Saccharomyces cerevisiae S288C: one gene and its partners. Changing the gene in region 1 together with any one later gene gives a genetic interaction. Each region holds a gene or a part of one and is shown in the gene's direction. Other genes may lie near its edges.

Region 1 (9,169 bases):
TTAAGCAATTCCTTTAAGAAATCTGCAACAGTATCTCTTCCGTTTATCTTAGGCGACCCAGTATGCATGCCGAAGAGGGTGGAAAGCAATAATAATGATACCTGTCTTCTGTATAGTGACACATTATATGACGATCCTTTAATACAGAGGAATGATCAAGCAGGAGATGAAATAGAGGATGAATTTAGCTTTACATTGCTACGAAGTGAAGTAAATGAAATCAGACCCATATCTTCGTCCAGCACCGCCCAAATACTGCAATCGGACTATTCTGCGCTGATGTATGAGAGACAGGCTTCAAATGGGAGCATATTTCAGTTTAGTAGTCCCTGAGATTTAGTTTGATATCGTTAGCATAAGCTATTTGTCACGTTACTATTTCTCTCCTTCATTTATTCTTCCATGATATATAAATTTTTGTCAAGAGTACAGTTATTATTATATTATATCATTATTATAATTGTTATGATTACTATTAATATTATTAATGTTTATTATCAATGTTTATTATTATTATTGTTATTACACATGAAAAGTGAAATTTCATTACGCATATTGTCTTTTATAGTAGATCGCTGTCAGCATCTTCATTAACTTGTTTGGTGTTATTTTCCAAATTCAATAATCTCTTTTTCAACTCTAACACTTCACTTTTCAAGTCATCTCTTTCTTGATTAGTGATGAAGAGTTCCGCTTTCAGATCATTTATTTTGATGTTGAATTGATTTTCTCTTATGCTGTTGCTATTTTTTACATTATTGGAACTCTCCTCGGTGCTTCTGAGACCATTTTCGAAATTTTCACTGCAGACGCCATTTTTGAACTTCAATTCATCTAACTCGTCGATTAACTTTTTATTCAAACTCTTGTACTTCTCTAGCTCTCTTTGTGAAACCATTAGTGCCTTACTTGCACTGTCCATAGAACTGATACTTTCTTTGTAATCATTCTGTATTTTTTTGATTTCATTCTCTTTTACTAATACATCTTGACTTAATGAGCTGTGTTCCATCTTTAAAGCATGGTATTCAGAAGATAGTTTTTCTTTAGATATTGTTAGCTCTTGACTTCTCTCCAGCAAATCGTCCAATCTATTCGTTAGTTTGTTAATCACTACACGGTGGTGACGACTTTGATCACCATAGGGTTCACCGACAGTTTTCTCGCCATTTTCATCCGATACAGATATCAAAGAAGAAGAAGATTCAAGAAACGAAGAGTTGGCTCTGTTTTCTTTCCAATGACTGATCAATGAGCCTAACTGTGACGAGTAATTCGCAACATTATTGATTATATCTTCGTTATGTTGTTTGCTTTCATTTTTCAACCTTTCATTTTCTCTACTCAAATTCTCATGTTCTATCTGTAGTTCTTCAAGTTTTTCTTTGTAATTAGGCTCTAGTTCTAAGGATTTAATTTTTTCGTTCTGAAATTGTATAACTTCATTTAGATTCTCTATGTCTAAGAATTTGCTATTCACCAACTCTTCTAGCTCATTAACTTTATCTTCCAAGGAATGATTATCTGCCTCTAGTATTTCACATTTTGATTGCAGTCTGACGGAATCCAATTCATCTATTTCTTTCGTTGTCCCAGAATTCTTCTGGGATTTTAACTGCCATAGCTCCGTCTCTAATTCCTTTATGTGAGCTCCGGCTTCAAGCGCCTTTTCGTGCGTCAATTCTTTCAAACTTTGCAATTCCGATCTTAATTTCTCAAATAGTGCCCTATCTACGACTTCGGTAGTAGCATCTCTATTTATAGGAACGCTAGCTTCTTCATTTTTCGTATCAGTTGGAACGTCTCCCATTGGGGACACGTTTTTTTCATCACTTGCATCAATAACATGGTTAGCACTATCATGGCCCGCGGTGTCGCTTTTCTTTATTGTAATATCCACAGGCTCGGACAGTTTGTCGATCTCCGTATTATTCTGTGATAATTCTGAAGATTCATTATAATGCTTTATTTTGAACTGATCTTTGGATGGGGAGCTCGCCATTTGAGCCACACCGATTTCGTCGTCTTCGTCAGCAACATTGCCGTCCTCTTCAACCTTGGACATCGAAGATGTGCCTAGTTTGTCCCCGTTTATCTCTTGGTCGAAGGTCGTCGTGGAATCTATTTTTTCATCAGCGTCAGGAAGATGTTTTATTTCCTCTATATTACCATTTTGGGGCGTTTTTATCTCATTACTTGGAAGCGTCTCTAATATTGGGGAGTTATTCTTTATTTGGTTTGCAGGGGTGAGATTATCTCCATAGATTGAAGATGGGATGCGCTGATTTCCAACTGTTGGATCCATAGTTTCAGAAAGATCAGGTTCTTTCTGGATAGTAGGCGTATCAAATGGTTTGTTGGAAGTTATTTTCATAACCGGCGTTTGTGAGCTTTCAGATGGAACATATGGAGTCAAAATGTTAGGCTCAGCAATCAAGTGAGATTCAGAATTTACTGGGTGGCTCTGATTTTGGTGTTCTGTTGACACATTTCGATTGTGTACCTCCCTGTTGAGGCGATCAGCATCTGAAAAATCTTTTGGTGCAGGTGATGGAGCGGAAGCTAGAGGAGCTGCTGAAATTGGTACGTTCATATTTTTAGTTTGATGAGAGGTTGGGGTAACGGGCGTCGCCAGGTCAAGATTACCATTTCTCGGAGTTGGCGTATCAGTTGGAACATCCATTACGCCTGGACAAAGGTCCTTTATGCGGGCCAAGTCTAGCGTATAAACAATTGTACCTCTTTGCATATCAATATCAGAGGTATGCAAGTCGTACTCCTCGACTCTAGCGTAATCAAATTTATCTCCTCCCATAATCAAAATTTTATCATTTTTTAATAATGTTAAAGAATGCCCAGAACGGCCTTGCGGAATTCCAGCCGTAAATACAGGTAATTTAAACCATTTACGCGATTTCAAGTTTAGGAAATACACGGAGTTCAAATAAGCATCATGCTCATCTTTCCCGCCTACAACACACATCAGATCGTTGTAGACTACAGTAGCATGTTCTTGAACTGGAGGAGGCTTTTCACCCGTGGTATCAATGATAAACCAATCATTTATTGCAGGGTCGTACATAAACACATCATTTACTAAACCTTGTAAGGTATCGCCACCAAATACCCATAGTTTAGAATCGTATGATATCATAGTAAAATTGGTAATAGGTGGTGGTGTAAAGGTCCTTGGTTTCAAAAATTCCCAATGAGAGTCCGGTCTTCTAAAAGAAGATAAGTCGTAAACAGCCAAGTCGTTGAAGTAGGTGTCATCAAATTGACCACCAAACACGTACAGTTTTGTTTTCATTTGAGTTGTGGCGATAATCGAAATTTTATGACCGTACCTTCCCAATGGACGTGGTCCCACGGGTGCCGGGACTGTCCATTTATAGGAATTAATATTCAAAAGGTATATGTCATCGTCCATCAAACCTTCCTTATTGACTTTGTGTGTGTCACCGCCAAATACAACAAAGGCATTCCCGCATAATACAGCAGCGTGGCCTACCCTTGGTGGTGGTGTAGCTTCACTTATGTCTATCGTTGTAGTGGAAAATCTGGTGGCATTATCGAAGGCCGTTAATATCCATGTATCGCCGTACACAGATTGGTCATGAAGTCCCCCAATAACATATATCTGGTTCTTGTCTGTAACATATGCTGAAGCAACATGTCTATAACGTGGAAAAGGAGAATTCTGTAACTTGATTCTATTCCATACGGTATATTCTCTCTGTTTTGAAAGCTGCTTATGGAGAGTAGTGGACGGTCCTGAGACATTTCGCTGTTGCGGTGGTACTGCGCTCGGTTGAATCCTTGATTCGGATACCTGTTTTCTGGCAAACATAGGTGGTGAACTAGTTTTATTAACATTAGAATGGTAACCTTGTGAAAATTGACGCCCTTTCTGAGGCGTTTCTTGTTTTGTGAAAAATTTTTCATTTGGAGGAGTTGACAGTGAAGCTTCTCTAGATTGGTCAGAGATAGAAGCATCAGAAGGCGTCTTTCCATGTTTCTTGTGAGTGAATTTCTTGGCGAAGCTGAATCCAGCCATGTTTGAGTTATTTTCTAGGTGCAAATTGAAGCAAACGGGCTCTAACTTTTCCTGAAAAATTACTGTGAATTTGTTAATAAGTGTAAGTATCACAAATCAAGCAAAACAATTACTTTATAGAACGAGCCCTGTTGCTTTTCTATATCTTATTGTTTCGTATTTTAAAGGAATGCTTGCTTGTAGTTTACTATCAACAACCGCGTCGCCAAGTCCCCAGAAGACGTGCCGCGTGATTCCAAAGGTGATGAAGGGTACAAGTTGTAAAGTTCAATATAATAGGTAAGGAAAAAGGCCAATACTAACTGTGCTTTTCTCAATTACCACTACATGGATCCGAGGATAATTAAATCTATCTCCTAGGGCACTGATATGAATAAATTTGACGAGTTTATAGAGTCTAATGAGAAGGATTTGGATGTGGACACCAGTACCCGAAATAGTATAATTTCGATGTCACCTGTGAGGAAAACTGGACGAAAGATTCGTTCTGCTAGTTCCAATGGATATAGGCTAGAACACCATCGTACGTCCAGTGCGGGAAGCATGCATTCGCAAAGACTAATGACGCCTACCAGATTAAATGACCAGGACCATCCCTTACAAGCCAAGCCAGATGCTAGGAGGGTGGTAACTCGTCATTCTTCTGTCTCAGTTCCAAATGCAATGAGCAAGAGAAGATCACTTATTCAACCCATGGTTGTTCCCACTACACCAGAATCTCAAAACAACTTACCTTCAGTAAGTCATTCTGAGGGATCCTATGGAATCCCATTAGAGTCAACCACTGTACTTTCTAGTGAGCAAGCGATGGCCAGCGGACTTCGACGGTCTAGAAATGGGAGTTCGCAGTCGGTTAATAGTATGATAGCGACCACCATACCAACAAATGGGGTCGATGTAAGTGCGCTTCTACAATCTCTCGCTACAAAAGAGTTAGAACTTCTGGAATGCAAACAAAAGATTGAAGATTTGAAAAAGCAAACCCAGCATGAAGAGCAAAACTATACTCGTCGGGCACGTGAACTGCATGAACTCAAGGAGCAAGTGAGTAAACATTTGGATCCCTCTCTAAATACACCTGTTAAAAACCGGGCTTTTTCACCGGTTTACCAGAATATACCTTTGGAATCACGAACTGAAAATGCTGGTAACAGCAGCCTTCCTAGTTCTGTCAGTAAACCAAAGAACATGGGTCATCAAAGTACTAATCAGTCAAGATCTGTGTCTCCGCAAGATATTCAAGAAAGGCGCCAAAGGGACGACTCGTCAGATTCATCCAAACAGTCACTTTGGAGCAAACCATTAGCTCTGTTTAATCAGTTTGATAAAATCATTCAGCATGAAATTGAAAGAACTCTGAATTGGGATGACTCTCTTTCAGGTACGCCTGAGGTACAGGAAGGGACACCGACTAGTAATAGCGAGTCGTCCGCGCAACAGTACGATAATGAAGCACCTGGAGCTCGCCAAAAATCTCCTTCGCAAGGATCAGTCTCCAGGTCGCTTTGGAGCTTTGTTAGCGATGTCAAGGCCGGATTACTCGGTATAGAAGAAGAAAACGATAATGATGTTATTACTGATAACAGATGTGATCCTGTATATAAAAGCGATAGACAGCATGAACAGAAAAAAAGTACACATAAAATTACGAACCGGGGGCAAGCAGAAGATAGTGGCGACGATTCTAGTTTAAACATGAGGAAATTTAAAACGACAACTAAGTTCCAGAAAGACAATGCTGGGAATAATAGTCTCACAGATGAAAGTGGACATCGAACACGAGAAAAAAAAAGTAAAAGAAGTAGTAACAAGCTAAGTTTTATTGGAGAACCCGATAATGATAATTCCTCCGTCAAAAACTCAGTTGAAATGACAGACTTCTAATTCCTTTTTCAAAATGACGTTTATTCTTCACTTGTCACTCTTTTTACGTATAGCTGTGAACGCAGTATGTAATTTAATACTGTTTTCTCTTGAAAGTGGTTAAAAAGTGTTATATATCTGAAATTCATGGTTTAAATTAAAGAAATTTCAAGGCCCGTTAAGCAATTCTGTCTTCAACATCATGGAACTCAAGACCAGCCCAGTTTCCTGAATTCTGAAAACAAAAACCTACGTGTTTTTGAAGGTTTCTTTCTGTACCGTTATCCTTCTTTAAAACTATAGAACCATCACTAATGCTGCCCATCAGCCCCATAAACTTTGAACTGTTTAGTCTTTCTTTTACATCTTTATTGGCACTATTATTATCGCAAAACTCAATTATATCGGAAGCCAAACCTTTCATGGCAGTTTCTTCATCTTCCAGACTCGTACCTGAATTTTCCTCTTCTGTATGGACATCTTCTTCCAAACTACTGGCTTCCAGTTCCGAAAATTCAGCATTAATTAAAGAATCAATGTGGCTGTTGATAGGATGTTCTAAACCTGTTGTCTTGAATATCTGATGGTCAACCACAGGGAAGGAAGCAATGTTAAAGTTTTTCTGTGAATAAAAGCCTAAGGGAAAATCTGTCTGAGATGTCCGTAGCCCGTTGTTTATATTAAGATTCGCGATTTGATTTTCGATGGGCGGTTCAACATTCTTAGGGAAGTTATATCTAAAATCCTTGGCCCAAGAAGTTTCATTGTCATTTAGATTTGGCGCTTCAAATTTGTAACTTTGATCCTCTAAGGTTCTAGGACGAATATTTACGTAGGACCGTGATTGATTCAAATCTTCTGAGTGTTGTAGAAATTTCAGCTCAATTTTATCCTTCAGAATCGGTGGTGAATTCAGTCTGCTCCCGATTTTGTTAAAAGAGAGCGTATTGTCCCTGCCCGTAAAAGGCCCCTTTTCTGTACTACTAATAAATTTATTCACCTCATTCGTTTGGCATCGGTTACTATTCATTGTTTGTATTTTATATCATTTGTCCATTGAAGTTTAGACAAGTATCAAATACCCAGTTTTCGTCTTTTCCCTTATATAGGTCGTCTCGGAAATAACAATATAAACTCCATGGTGCGGCGCTATCGAAATCTTTTGTTGGCGGGAGGAATTGAAGACAGTAAGATGTAAGTATTACATACTATAGGACAAATGCAAAATATGTACAAAATGGCAAAAATTACATAGCTCTTCCTTACAACTATATATAGCTATCCAAAGATGCACTTGAGTACTCCCTTACATACCTGATTATACTAGATATTACATATCAATTAAATTGAGGTTGTTAGCATATTGGTTTCCTAAAACTGGTTGCTGTGTTTGAGACTGTTCCGGTTGTGGTTGCTGTTGTGGATAGAAAGGGAAATTTTGAGGTTGAACTGTCCCAGTTATATTTGTAACAGGGTTGGCTCCTGCAGTTGCAGGCACATAATAACCCTGTTGTGGTTGCTGTTGTTGCTGTTGCTGTTGTTGCTGTTGCTGTTGTTGCTGTTGTTGGAGATGATTCTGAGTGTAGTGAGCCTGAAATTCCATTTTATCAAAACGCTGAGGAATATTCATCGATCCCTGCATGCTAGTAGGGGTTGTCATAACGCTATTGATCGAGCTCAAAGGCATTTTTTGTTGTTGAAATTGTTGTTGATTGTACGTTTGGTTTTGAAAAGGGTTACTTATTATCTGTTGTTGTAGCGGCATATTGGTATTTTGTTCATCAAAGTTTGGTCGTGAAAATGGGTTATTTAAGACATTTTCGTGTGCAGGATTCCCTGTTGCGATCGTCGCGGCGTTGTGCAATGCGAACGGGTTGTTAGAACCAGTTTGTGAATGAGAGACTTGTTGATTAGAAGCGGCAGTTGTATCCTGTGAAACGGAGTATCCTCCAAACCCTGCACCTGTAAATGTGGGTGTTAAATGGTTGTTAATCGAATAGTACCCCGTTTGTTGGGCACTTACGCCAGCATCTTGTACAGGGTTGAAGTTCACTGTGTGTTGGACCGCTGCATATTCAGGAACGTTTAAATTTGCGGGCTCTGTATGAGCGGTTGGTGTATTCATCACCTGTGGCTGAGTTTGAGATACAAATGGGTTATTTGCGATCTGTTGCGTTTGATTAGCCACAGCCATTGGAATGTTAGTATGCATAGAAGAGTCTGTTCCAAACGGGTTGTAAGATTGAGCCGCCGTGACAGTAGTTAGAGCAGGGGAAATCGCTACTTGTTCGTTTTTCAATTGTGCCTCTAGTATCCTTTTTTGTTCCCGGATTTGCTCCAACCTTTCCTGTGCAGTAGATTTGGCTACTACGGCCCCAGCACTTCCTTGAGAACTGTCAACGGGCACAAAAGTGTTGTGCGTCTTATCATCCTCTATCAGATGTTCTTCTAGCGATCTGACCAGTTTGGTAGTGATATGCTTGATGACGGGTATTTTCAAGCCCGCAGTCTTCCCGCTCTTCAAGTACCTGACAACGTGCTCGGTCAAATCAACAAACGTCTTGTACAGGTCTAGAGTTCTCTCTGCATTATGATGAGATAGTTCGAAAAAAGACTCCAGCAGAGTTATGATACCTTCGTTGAGAGCATTATATAGCGCTAGCAGGTCTTGAATAAGCAGCTTGAAACCAAATATGATCAATTCGTTACTCAAATCATATTGTGTATACTTGTTTTTAATCAGGGCTTGTATTTGTACCTCTAGGGACTCCACATGATCTAGTGCTATATTGATAGAGTGTTGCTTGTTTCTGGAGCTTCCGTAATTGCCACTGTTCAGCTTCAGTGTTCGATAGCCGTCTCTCACATAGTCCTTTTTGATTTTACCAAACTCCCTGCATCTCACCTTCAGATAATTATCGTATCTATCAAGTGCCCTCATGTCTCCAGACGCACTGCCATTGGAGCCACGTATGTTTTCAATGTCAAAAAACTCCAGGTTCCTAGAGTAGTACCGCAATGCAACATCTTTGGAACCCTCCCTTATCATCAAATGAACCACCAACAGCGATTTATACACAATAGTCCACGCCGTGTCATTAATTCGGGAATCCAAACCCTTCACGATCTCATAGAAATCCTCTTCATTGCTGGTCCCCAACAGTATCGGATCCAGATACTTCTGTTTGGGCGGGGCTGACTTGATCTTGGTAGCACCTTTTACCAACTTGAAATATGTTGTCATCTCGC
Region 2 (5,801 bases), on another chromosome or scaffold:
TGAAGATGAAACTATGTTTGTGGGGTTGAAAGAAAAACAGAAGTTACATTTATCTGGTGTTTTCCGGCTGCAAGTGGTGAAAGGAGGTATTGTCTACAACAATGTACACTATAACGCTTCGAGAGAAATTTTAACCTTCTGGCACCCGTTATCACAGTCCATACCTACTATAGATTTTTCGCACTTTGCAGGCTGGCAAGACACTTTTTTTATGCCGAGAAACAACAGGTTTAAAATTAGAGATGAAGAATTCAAATCATTTCCATGTGTTCTTCGCGTTTTTAATTCTAATCATACGGGCTTGTTAGAAGCAGGTCATTTATATCGGGATGTTAATTATCTATGGAAACCTAAAGAACCTTACTTTCCATTAAACGAGAGAACAACGTATCATTTATTACATGAGTCAGACCGAATTCAATCTTTATCCGTGCCGGGATATTGGTCAACTCCGTTAGAGAAGTTATATTTGAGTCACAAGAACGCTGCGTATGATACAAGAATCATGGTGATTGGTGGTAAAAACTCTGGGAAGTCTACATTCTTGAGGCTTTTATTGGAAAAATTTACGCAAGATATACGAGATTCTACTACGAGCCAGGAAGAATTGGTATACCTGGATTTAGATCCTGGTCAACCTGAATACTCACTACCTGATTCAATATCCCTGAATAAGATTCTTTCCAGCCCTATTTCTCTCGGACAACATCTCTGCCAAGGTTCAAATTTCCAAACTTTGTTACAGTTCTACGCTGGCTCCTCTTCCCCGCAGGACGAGCCCACATCATACCTGAACTGCGCTGATAAACTTATAGACCATTTGGAAGAGCAAGCCTTCTTCGGAACGTCATTGCTTAATCTACCTGGGTGGATAAAAGGATTCGGGATGCAGATTTTAAATCATATAATAAGGAAATATAAGCCCACTCACTTATTGTTTTTGGAAACAGCTAATTCGAAAAGACACCTGGATGAACTAACAATTCCACAGAGTTTTTCCACATCACTACGAGATGCATATGCACCTGAAGTTGTTCGCGTTCCAGCCCATAGTCTGAACCACACCTTATCTTCTAGGTTCCATGCATCACAACTGAGAACATTCAAAATACTGGCACTGTTTCATAAAATAACTCAATTTGATTATGATTTTGCGCCTCTTTTAAAATCTGCACCTTTGCAAATTTCATATGGCAAAGGTAAAAGCGGTATTAAAGGCATTCAATTTCCTATGGAATTCCAGGATCTGAATCCTCAAGATATCAAGTCCGCATTGGAAGGTACTGTCATTGGGATATATACATATTCTGGAGAAGACTCACTAGAGGTGAAATCCTTGAATACCTTTCCCATCCTACAATCGTGTACTTCTTCTTCTAAAAATTTCATAACTCTGGGGCTGATACACTCTATTGACACCTCCCAGCAAATAATGAACATTTACGTGCCACCTTGCCATACCCAGATTTTAGATAAACAACCTGAGGATGCTCAATGGATAATAGTAAGAAATAAGACGGAAACTCCTTTTTGTGACTTTCTTCCATCCCCCCGCACAATTACATGGGATGATAATATACAAATACCGTTCGCAACTTTTGAAAGAAGGAAAAAATTGGAACATGTGTGGAAAGTTCGTAAGAACGTCATGAGACGTGGCCAATTCATGAAAAGATAGAAAGAAAAGGTAATCGTACATTTTTTAATAGTGAAAGATAGAGGATACACAAAAATCATGCAAAGTTTTATATATTTGTTATGTATACTCATATTCCTTCAATATCTAAGTCATACTAACTTCTAGGGACTTTACCAAAATATTATTTATAAATTTATTGTTTCATTTCTTCCGCATCCTTCATCTCCTCCGTTAAACCCATTTTCTTATTTAATCTATCATATTTCAGTCTATCTTTATCGCTCACAGAGGGTTTAATCTTTCTTAATGCACTTCGGAAGTCAGACATGGTCACAATAATTTCTTCGCCAGATACGCCAACCGATAGATCCTCAAATTCCTTGTCTAAGTCATTATCAAGAACAGATTGTATTTCTTCGCTCTGAAAAAACTTCCTTTTTAGAGCCAAGACTGAACTCTCCCTGACTAAAGCAGCCAAGTCAGCGCCTGAAAAATTGTTGCACTTCTCATTTCTGATAATTTCTTCAAAATCAACATCGCTACTCAGAGGTGTTCCGTGTGATTTGGTCAAAGTTTTGATAATATCTAGTTTTTCCTCAGTATTAGGTAACTCAATAAACAAACTCTTATCCAATCTGCCCGGTCTTAACATAGCAGGATCAATCATATCAGGTCTATTAGTGGCGCCAATCACAAAAATTCCCCTTCTATCGTTCAGCCCATCTAATTCCGTTAACAAAGTGTTGACGACTCTTGAGGAGGATTCGGACAAAGAAGTATCTCTTCTTGGCACCAAAGCGTCCAGTTCATCAAAAAATATAACACACGGTACAGACGCCCTTGCTCTAGTAAAAACTTGTCTGATGGACCTTTCTGATTCACCAACGTATTTATTTAATAATTCAGGACCTTTGATTGATATGAAATTTGCACGAGATTCATTGGCAACAGCTTTTGCTAGTAACGTTTTACCACAACCTGGTGGTCCCCACAATAAAACACCACCAGGGGCGCTAATTCCCACTTTTTCATAAAGCTCTGGTCTCTTGATGGGTTGCACAATAGCCATATTTAATTCAAGTCTAACTCTTTGCAATGCGCCTACATTAGCCCAAGTAACATCAGGTACCGTAGCGAACCCTTCTCTCTTTGCTGTTGGTTGAATTGTTGGCAACGCTTTCAAAAAATCTTCGTACTTAATCGATAATAATGATAACTGCTCTCCTGATAAAGGCTCAGGATAATTACGAATAAATTGTTGGACTACGGATAAAGGCAACGGATCGATCATATTCGCAGTGTTCTTCAGGCTAGATTCATCTCCGTTTGCTGTTTCATCAATTTCCATGTTATCTTCTGAACTGTCCGTTGCCGTAGTTGGTGTGGATTTTATATTAGCATAGGTTTGGAAAATTCTTTTAATAGCGCATGTACCGGCAGCAGTAACTAAAGCCTTTAAATCAGCGCCAACAAAGCCTGGGGTTAATTTTGCCAATTTGGCAAAATCGATAGCACCATCAATTTTTAGGTTATCAGACATTTTCTTTAAAATATGTAACCTTGAGACTTCATTCGGGACATTCAGGCATATTTCTCTATCGAATCTACCTGCTCTTCTCAATGCTGCATCCAAAGAGTCAGGTCTATTCGTGGCACCTATGATAATAACAGGTTTTCCATTTGTCTTTTCCATCGTTAATTCATCCATTGAGGTCAATAATTGGGCAACTATTCTTCTCTCCATTTCTCTTTGGGCTCCTCCATCACGTTTTGGTGTAATGGCATCTATTTCATCAAAGAAAACAAGACATGGTGCCAAGCTTCTCGCTTCATCAAACAAATCCCTAATCTTTTTCTCGCTTTCCCCAGACATACCACTTACGACTGAAGGTGCAGAAATAGATATAAATGGGACTTGTAATTCTCCAGCTAACGCATTAGCAATCGACGTCTTACCGCAACCCGGTGGGCCATGCAACAGAACACCTCTAGGTGGTTCGACACCCGTGGATAAAAATATCTCTGGATGAAGAATGGGTAGACCTATTAGTTCCATAAGTTGTGCAACGACATCATCCATACCACCTAAGGATTTCAGAGACGAATTAGGTGGAGATCTATCTTCCTTGATTTTTTGACGTTTTACCTTACATGTACCTTCTTTGGATCTTTTTTTAGATTTTTTAACCTCTTCTGTCTTAGGATCATCAGTTTCTGTTATAGACTCGGAAACAGATCCAGATTTGGACCACGTGCTAGTTATGCGTTTGTTCATCTCATTTGTGTCTCGCTCAATCATCATATTTTTCTTAGCTAGTTCTTCTTCCAAGCTTGGTTTCTCTTCCTCTTCGTTGTTGTAACCTGGGTAAGAACCAAATTCTTCCAATTCTGATTCAATCACGTCTTTTAGCATGCGGTCAATTGTCTTTTGTAAGACAACTTTCTTAACTCTTTGAAGTGATAAATCTTTAGTCAAACAAAAGGTAAAAATCTCACCTGCTGTTAAATCTTTAGCGAAAAACATGGATTCAAATATATCCTCATCTTCTTCACCCTCGTTGTTCTCGCCCTCTTCTCCTTGGGATTCTTGTCTCAGAGACCTTTTTCTGTCCAAAGTTTTTTCTTCCAAGAGACGATAGATAAGATCGACGATCTTGTTATCTAGAGAACTTGTTAATGAGTTCTTTTTCGACTTTACTTTAACCATTATTCCAGCCTTCCCACCACGTAGCTATTATCGGCCCTAATGATCTTTTATTCTAACTGACTCGCAGATTAATTCACACATCGGTTGTTAATCATTGTTTGAATTTCCAAAATATGCGATGAGCTGAATGAAAAATTTTGGAACCTGTCACTATCGACGAACATCGAAGTTTGCCATGACAACCATATATGAAGAAAGCTTATGAGACTAGCTCGAGTATATCATACGTATGCATGTTAATCGCAGTTAAGCGGATAACACAATGCGTAAGCCTTCTATTACGATAACAACAGCAAAAGCTATTATAACTCCAGACTATACTCTTATTAAATCGCATTCTAAATACCAACTTCCTTCACGTTTTCAAAAGCTAGATGCAGACTCACCTGAGAGAAGTACAGTTGTTAAGCTATTTTACCGCCGATTTATGAGGCTTAAGCCTTTCATATCGAATGTGAAAATGGTTAAAGATACTTACAGGGATTATGTTCGATATAAGTTTATGAAAGAAAACTACGAACTCAAACGATACTTGGTATTCAATCCTGATGGCTTGAGGTCGAAAATCAATCTTGAGCTTCTCAGCAACACGAAATGTTGTGAAAGGATACTCCCCGTGACTGAGATGCAAAGAACCTTGGAATTTGTTCTGAAGAGCTGTTCATACTTGCCCGAAACAAAAGTTCAAAAGTGGGATATTGCAAGGGACAACACATATTGCAGGCAAATTTTAAAGAACCTTTTAACAATGCAATATGAAAAGTACAGATCGATTTTGCATAGAGGAATAGGCCATGATGAGCTTGACGTCAAATTCTCTCATTTGAAAACTACTTCTAGTCCGCTAACTAAGCTAAATAAAACCGAAAAGAAAAAGATTCCGCTTTTCAAAGTATTTAGTGATTTCGATACAACATTGATATATCTCAATGAGACATTAGGTACAAGGTTATAAAGATCATTATCGTAAAAGAGGAGCGGAGCGGAGCTTTTTAGTATGTATGGTAAAATATCAATCAAATACTGTAATAGATGCGGATATGCGCAATGACATATTTTGTGGTGTGCATATCCATTGAAAAGGTGCGTAGAACGTTACAATACTACTGAACTTTTTTCCTTCTCATTTTCTGCCATTTTGATATTTATGCCTATTATTGGTTTGAGCTTTATTAGAGTTGGCATAATTATAATCGTACTCGTATGTATATCCGTATCCATACCCATATCCGTTGTAATAAGTGTTTGGTATATATCCTTTGATGGCTTGGGCTCCTCCTACCGTCGTTATAACAGGCATTTTGTGGCGTTGTGGTGAGGCTCCTGATTGGCTGGTATTATCGATGGTCGTACGACTTTTGGCATTATTCATTGATCTGAAATTGCCATTGGTATTGCTATTACTGGTGTTACTCTTGCTGGAGGCAGACCCTAGAACAAATTTTTTAATTATTT
Region 3 (5,014 bases), on another chromosome or scaffold:
AGAAAGTTTCAAACCTCTTCAATTTATCGGACTTTTTACAGTTGTTCAATGGTAATGCTAGTAAAGATCAAGATGATGCACAGAGCTTGGAAAAGCAAATGGAAACAGACTATAACAATGCAGATAACAGTCAAGGCGCTAATGCTAGTAGCAAAATAGAAGATGGCAAAAATTCGGGCGCAAGCGATAGACAAATTAGAAGTAACAGAAGAGATGTGGATAACTTGATACTATGCGTTCACGGTATAGGTCAGACTTTGGGTAAGAAGTACGAATACGTAAATTTCGCACACACGGTAAATCTACTTAGGTCTAATATGAAAAAAATCTACAATAATTCTGAGAAACTACAATCATTAAACACAGCACCTGATTATAAAAGCAACTGTAACGTTCAAGTGCTACCCATCACCTGGAGGCACTCGATAAGTTTCCAAACGGATGCTAAGGAGGAAAATATAGAAAATCCTGACCTACCGACTTTGTCACAAGTCACAGTAAATGGAGTGTTACCCTTGAGGAAGCTACTGGCTGACGGTCTACTAGATATTTTGTTGTATGTCGAACCATACTACCAAGATATGATTCTACAACAAGTAACCTCTCAATTGAACAAAACATATCGGATTTTTAAAGAATTTAATCCAGAGTTTGATGGGAAAGTCCATTTAGTGGGCCATTCGTTGGGTAGTATGATATTATTTGATATTCTATCCAAACAAAAAAAATATGAATTAGAATTTCAAGTAGACAACCTGTTCTTTATTGGCTCACCAATTGGATTGTTAAAGTTAATTCAAAGAACAAAAATTGGTGACCGTCCCGAATTTCCCAATGACTTGGAGAGAAAATTAACCGTACAGAGACCGCAATGTAAGGACATTTATAATGTTTACCACGTCTGTGATCCCATTTCTTATAGGATGGAACCTCTTGTTAGTAAAGAAATGGCTCATTACGAACAAACTTATTTACCACATTGTAGTGAAGCTTATGGACTAACTTCTAAAGTTTTGGAATTTGGCGAAAACATATGGAAAGATTTGCCAGGTACTGATGAAAATAATTTGCAGTCCAAAAAAACTTCTCCAGAAAAAAAAGAGGTCAAGTTATCAGAAAATCTTACGAGAATGCTTACAGGTTTGAATTACACCGGACGTCTAGATTATGCTATGTCTCCAAGTCTGCTAGAAGTGGATTTTATATCAGCTATAAAATCACATGTTTCTTATTTCGAAGAACCGGATATTGCAGCGTTTATCCTAAAAGAAATTTTAAGTAAACATGAAAATGCATCAGAAATATATGTAAAAAGAAAGACTGGTTGATCAGTAAACGCAAGGCACAAGTTTTTTTTAACTTTTTTCTTTACTGTCTATTATAGTTCCACTGTGTAAGGTTGTATTCTTTCCGTACTTCAACTTGCGGGTAACAGGATTGACACCTTTTCAATTTTTTCCGTTATTTTGGATTAGAAATTTTCGGTAAGCTCATCGAGTATTGTAAAAGAGCAATGCCCTTTGCTTATTAGATGTTGAGGGGCATATCTATTGTTAATATAGATTGATACAGCTGTGGAGATTATTTCTAGATATACGATGAAGTACATTATTGAGCATATGGAGGAAGGGTTTAGTGAATGGGTCATTTTAGAGTATAGCCAAATCCTGAGAGAAGTAGGAGCTGAAAACTTGATTTTATCATCGTTACCAGAGAGTACCACGGAAAAGGACATCCCTCAAAGGCTACTAAAACTTGGTTTAAGATGGACTACAAAGGATTTGAAGGGCATTAACGAAGATTTCAAGGATTTGGAACTGTTAAAAGATGGCAGAGTCTGTCTATTGGACCCTAGGGCTACAATCGATTTACAGCCGGAGGATGCTACGAAATTCGACTATTTCGTATTTGGTGGCATATTGGGTGATCATCCTCCAAGAGATCGTACCAAAGAACTAAAGACTGCCTATCCGAATCTTTTAATTAGCAGAAGACTAGGTGATAAACAAATGACTACGGATACTGCCATAAGAACAACACAGTTGATTATCAAAGACAGGATTGCATTTGAAGACATCAAGTTCATTGACTACCCTGAATTTAGGTTCAATAAAAATGAGGCCACGGAAATGCCATTTAGATACGTTTTAGATAAAGAAGGTAAACCTATTTTGCCTGAAGGGATGTTGGATTTGATCAAGAAGGATTCTGCTCAAAGTTTGGACGATCTGTTGATGTAGATGAGAACAGTCCTTTAAGTAACATTCTATGGTTGTAATAAGTGATGATGCTTCCTTGTCAAAGAGTTAGTTGAAAAGTTTAGGGTCGTAGCATTAATTATATTGTATATAGTTCAAAAACGACATTCAATGAAAAAATCAAGTTTATTAGCCAATGAATATTTCGTATTTTGCGTTAGTAGCGCTACCAAGACTTCTGAAAAGTGCATGCAAGAAAAATAAAAACAAGGAACCGTTTACTTTTATGATATCATCATTGTCAGGCCAAATAGGATAAAATTGATTGGTTGTATTATGCTTTTTAATTGAAAAAAAAAGTAGAAACTTTTATTATTTTATTTAAATTAATTTCTTTACATTACTTGCATCTAAAACCAAACGAGCTGGTGACTTCAAGCACTGCACTAGTTGCCATGGCTTTGCTAATTCAGACGACCCCCTTGAGGTGAAAAAATAGTCTCAGTAATGAAACAATCATAGGCAATTAGTTCGATTTTTTATAATTATCTTCCAGCCTTTCAAATATTGAAAGGCCATCAACTATCACTTACACCTGAGTGTTGTCATTGATCCGTAAAGTAAAAAGAGGCAAGTTTTGTGCATATTCGTATCATGCACAATGGCCTAAGGCAAGTATTTTCAGTGTTTTTTTTTTTTCATTGCCGTTTTGCTATTCAGAATATATTGAATTATATGTATAATGCATACTTAATAGAAAGAAGGACGCTAATTTTCGTTATAGAACAGTAGTTTCAAAAAGTGCTTCAAGTTTATAGAAATCAGTGCATCCCTTCACTGAACGATGAAGAACACCACCATTTCAGAAATTTTTATACATAATCAGTTGGCTTTCGTATCCTGCCTCGTATCTTTCTCTAAATCATTTAAAAATCCTTCAATACTCTTTACGACATCATCGTCCTTTCCCATAGCATCTGAGTTTGAACTTTCACCGCTTTTTTGTTGGCTCAAGGCAGAACTATTCTTGCCTTCATTTTTGGTTTTTGGTTTCGTGGTAAAGTAAGATGCCACTGCAGCAGTAGCGATAAACGTAGATATAGCCAATACGTGAGGTTGAACCGTCTTCCCAAATACTTTGTATGCAGCACCCATTGAGATAGCTATATTTATTTTTGTATATCTTATGTTTAGAAACAGTAGCGACCTTTCTTACTTGTTCCTTCAAAACTTGACTTAGATAACTATTTACCCTTAAACCGTTAGCTCTGTATTATGGACTGTGAAATTACACCTCGTTACCCGAAGTTCTATTATATTTTCAATCCATACTCCTATGATCTCTTCATTGGGAAAAAAAGGTCCACTTTCTCCTGGATTGCTCGAAGGCTTTCCGTAAAGAAAATACCTTTTATTTTTCTTTGCTTTCTTTCTCCATTAAATAGTAAACGCCTCTTTCTGAGGCAGCTGGCTAAAAAAATGTAACAAGGAATTTTATTTTATTACGGTTCAGCAAAGGCCGTAACGATAGTTGTATTATTTTCGTTCATATGTAGCAGCGATGGTAGCATTTTTTATTGTATAAATTGTGGCTTGCGTCGATTATCTTATTATGCCACTCATAATAAAAAGTTACTCTCAAAATGTCAATATTCAATAATGCATGTCTGTCTTTTTAATTTAGTACATACGTAGGATTAGGTATTGGAAGCAATCATAATGAGTTCTAAAGTTGTTATTTCTCACTTATTGCACCTCTCGAAGTTCTCTCATTAGCCGCCCAATTCTCATTCGTGTGAAGGTCATTAACGGGGTAATGCCCGTCATCAATGATAGAAATTTCTAGAATCTTGAAGGAATGGGAAAAAGAAGCTTGATTATGTATAAAATTAGTCAAAACGCTTATACAGTACAAACTTATTATGTGCTAGGTTTAAAATAATTTCTGATAGAAGCCATTGATCGAAAATATATTGAATCTACAGAAAAAAAAGAATGTCCACCCTTTTGAAGTCTGCTAAATCTATCGTTCCATTGATGGACCGTGTCCTTGTCCAAAGAATCAAGGCACAAGCAAAGACAGCATCCGGGTTGTATTTACCTGAAAAGAACGTGGAGAAGTTAAACCAAGCTGAAGTTGTTGCCGTAGGCCCGGGCTTTACTGATGCTAATGGTAATAAGGTTGTTCCTCAAGTTAAAGTTGGTGACCAAGTTTTGATTCCACAGTTTGGTGGTTCTACCATTAAATTGGGTAACGACGATGAAGTTATTCTTTTCAGGGACGCTGAAATCCTGGCTAAGATTGCCAAGGACTAAGAATGATGTCTTCTTCAACAGAGATTTTATATACATACTCTATATGTATGTACCTGTAAATAGGCCATTATGTATGACAGGAAAAAAAAATAATTGAACTCAAATTTCTTCTGCTATTCAGTTGCTGCCCCCAATTGTCTGCTAATAAAATTGATCTATTCATCAATAGGAATTTTAGGGACACTATGTGTACAAACTATCCGCTCATATTTTGCCGAATAAGAACAATGATTTCTTCTTTTTTTTCTTCTTCTTTTTCTTGTCGTTACGATCATCACTTTCAAAAACATCGCCACTGCTACTATTCCTTCTACTGGATGATTTATTTCCAGAGGAACTTCCACTTTTAAACACCTTAAAAATCCCAACTCCACCCCCAGTGAAGGTGTTCACAGTACTAAAACTAGACGAGCTTTTCTTTGACCCTGCACTACTTGAGGAGTCATTAGTTTTGACTTTTCTTAACGCACCGGCACTTTTAACTTTCCTCAAAGGAATGC

The links.
Region 2: mutations in TDA11 (region 1) and IRC19 together harm fitness more than expected from each alone (negative genetic interaction), as found in Saccharomyces cerevisiae (one large-scale study listed by BioGRID).
Region 3: mutations in TDA11 (region 1) and HSP10 together harm fitness more than expected from each alone (negative genetic interaction), as found in Saccharomyces cerevisiae (one large-scale study listed by BioGRID).

The regions. Positions count from the first base shown.
Region 1 is NC_001140.6:413,123-422,291, forward strand, and holds TDA11 (Tda11p), read left to right. Parts: upstream 1-4,426; coding exon 4,427-5,941; downstream 5,942-9,169. Other genes in the region: REC104 (Rec104p), read left to right, coding at 1-333; KEL1 (Kel1p), read right to left, coding at 563-4,057; PEX18 (Pex18p), read right to left, coding at 6,099-6,950; YAP1801 (Yap1801p), read right to left, coding at 7,251-9,164.
Region 2 is NC_001144.5:68,801-74,601, forward strand, and holds IRC19 (Irc19p), read left to right. Parts: upstream 1-4,608; coding exon 4,609-5,301; downstream 5,302-5,801. Other genes in the region: GRC3 (polynucleotide 5'-hydroxyl-kinase), read left to right, coding at 1-1,678; putative AAA family ATPase RIX7, read right to left, coding at 1,833-4,346; YLL032C (uncharacterized protein), read right to left, coding at 5,470-5,801. UniProt on the Saccharomyces cerevisiae protein: Involved in sporulation and maintenance of the mitochondrial DNA. Is probably involved in a pathway contributing to genomic integrity.
Region 3 is NC_001147.6:370,024-375,037, reverse strand, and holds HSP10 (Hsp10p), read left to right. Parts: upstream 1-4,193; coding exon 4,194-4,514; downstream 4,515-5,014. Other genes in the region: DDL1 (putative carboxylic ester hydrolase), read left to right, coding at 1-1,328; protein-arginine N-methyltransferase SFM1, read left to right, coding at 1,599-2,240; MCO10 (Mco10p), read right to left, coding at 3,081-3,353; YOR019W (uncharacterized protein), read right to left, coding at 4,719-5,014. UniProt on the Saccharomyces cerevisiae protein: Eukaryotic CPN10 homolog which is essential for mitochondrial protein biogenesis, together with CPN60. Binds to CPN60 in the presence of Mg-ATP and suppresses the ATPase activity of the latter.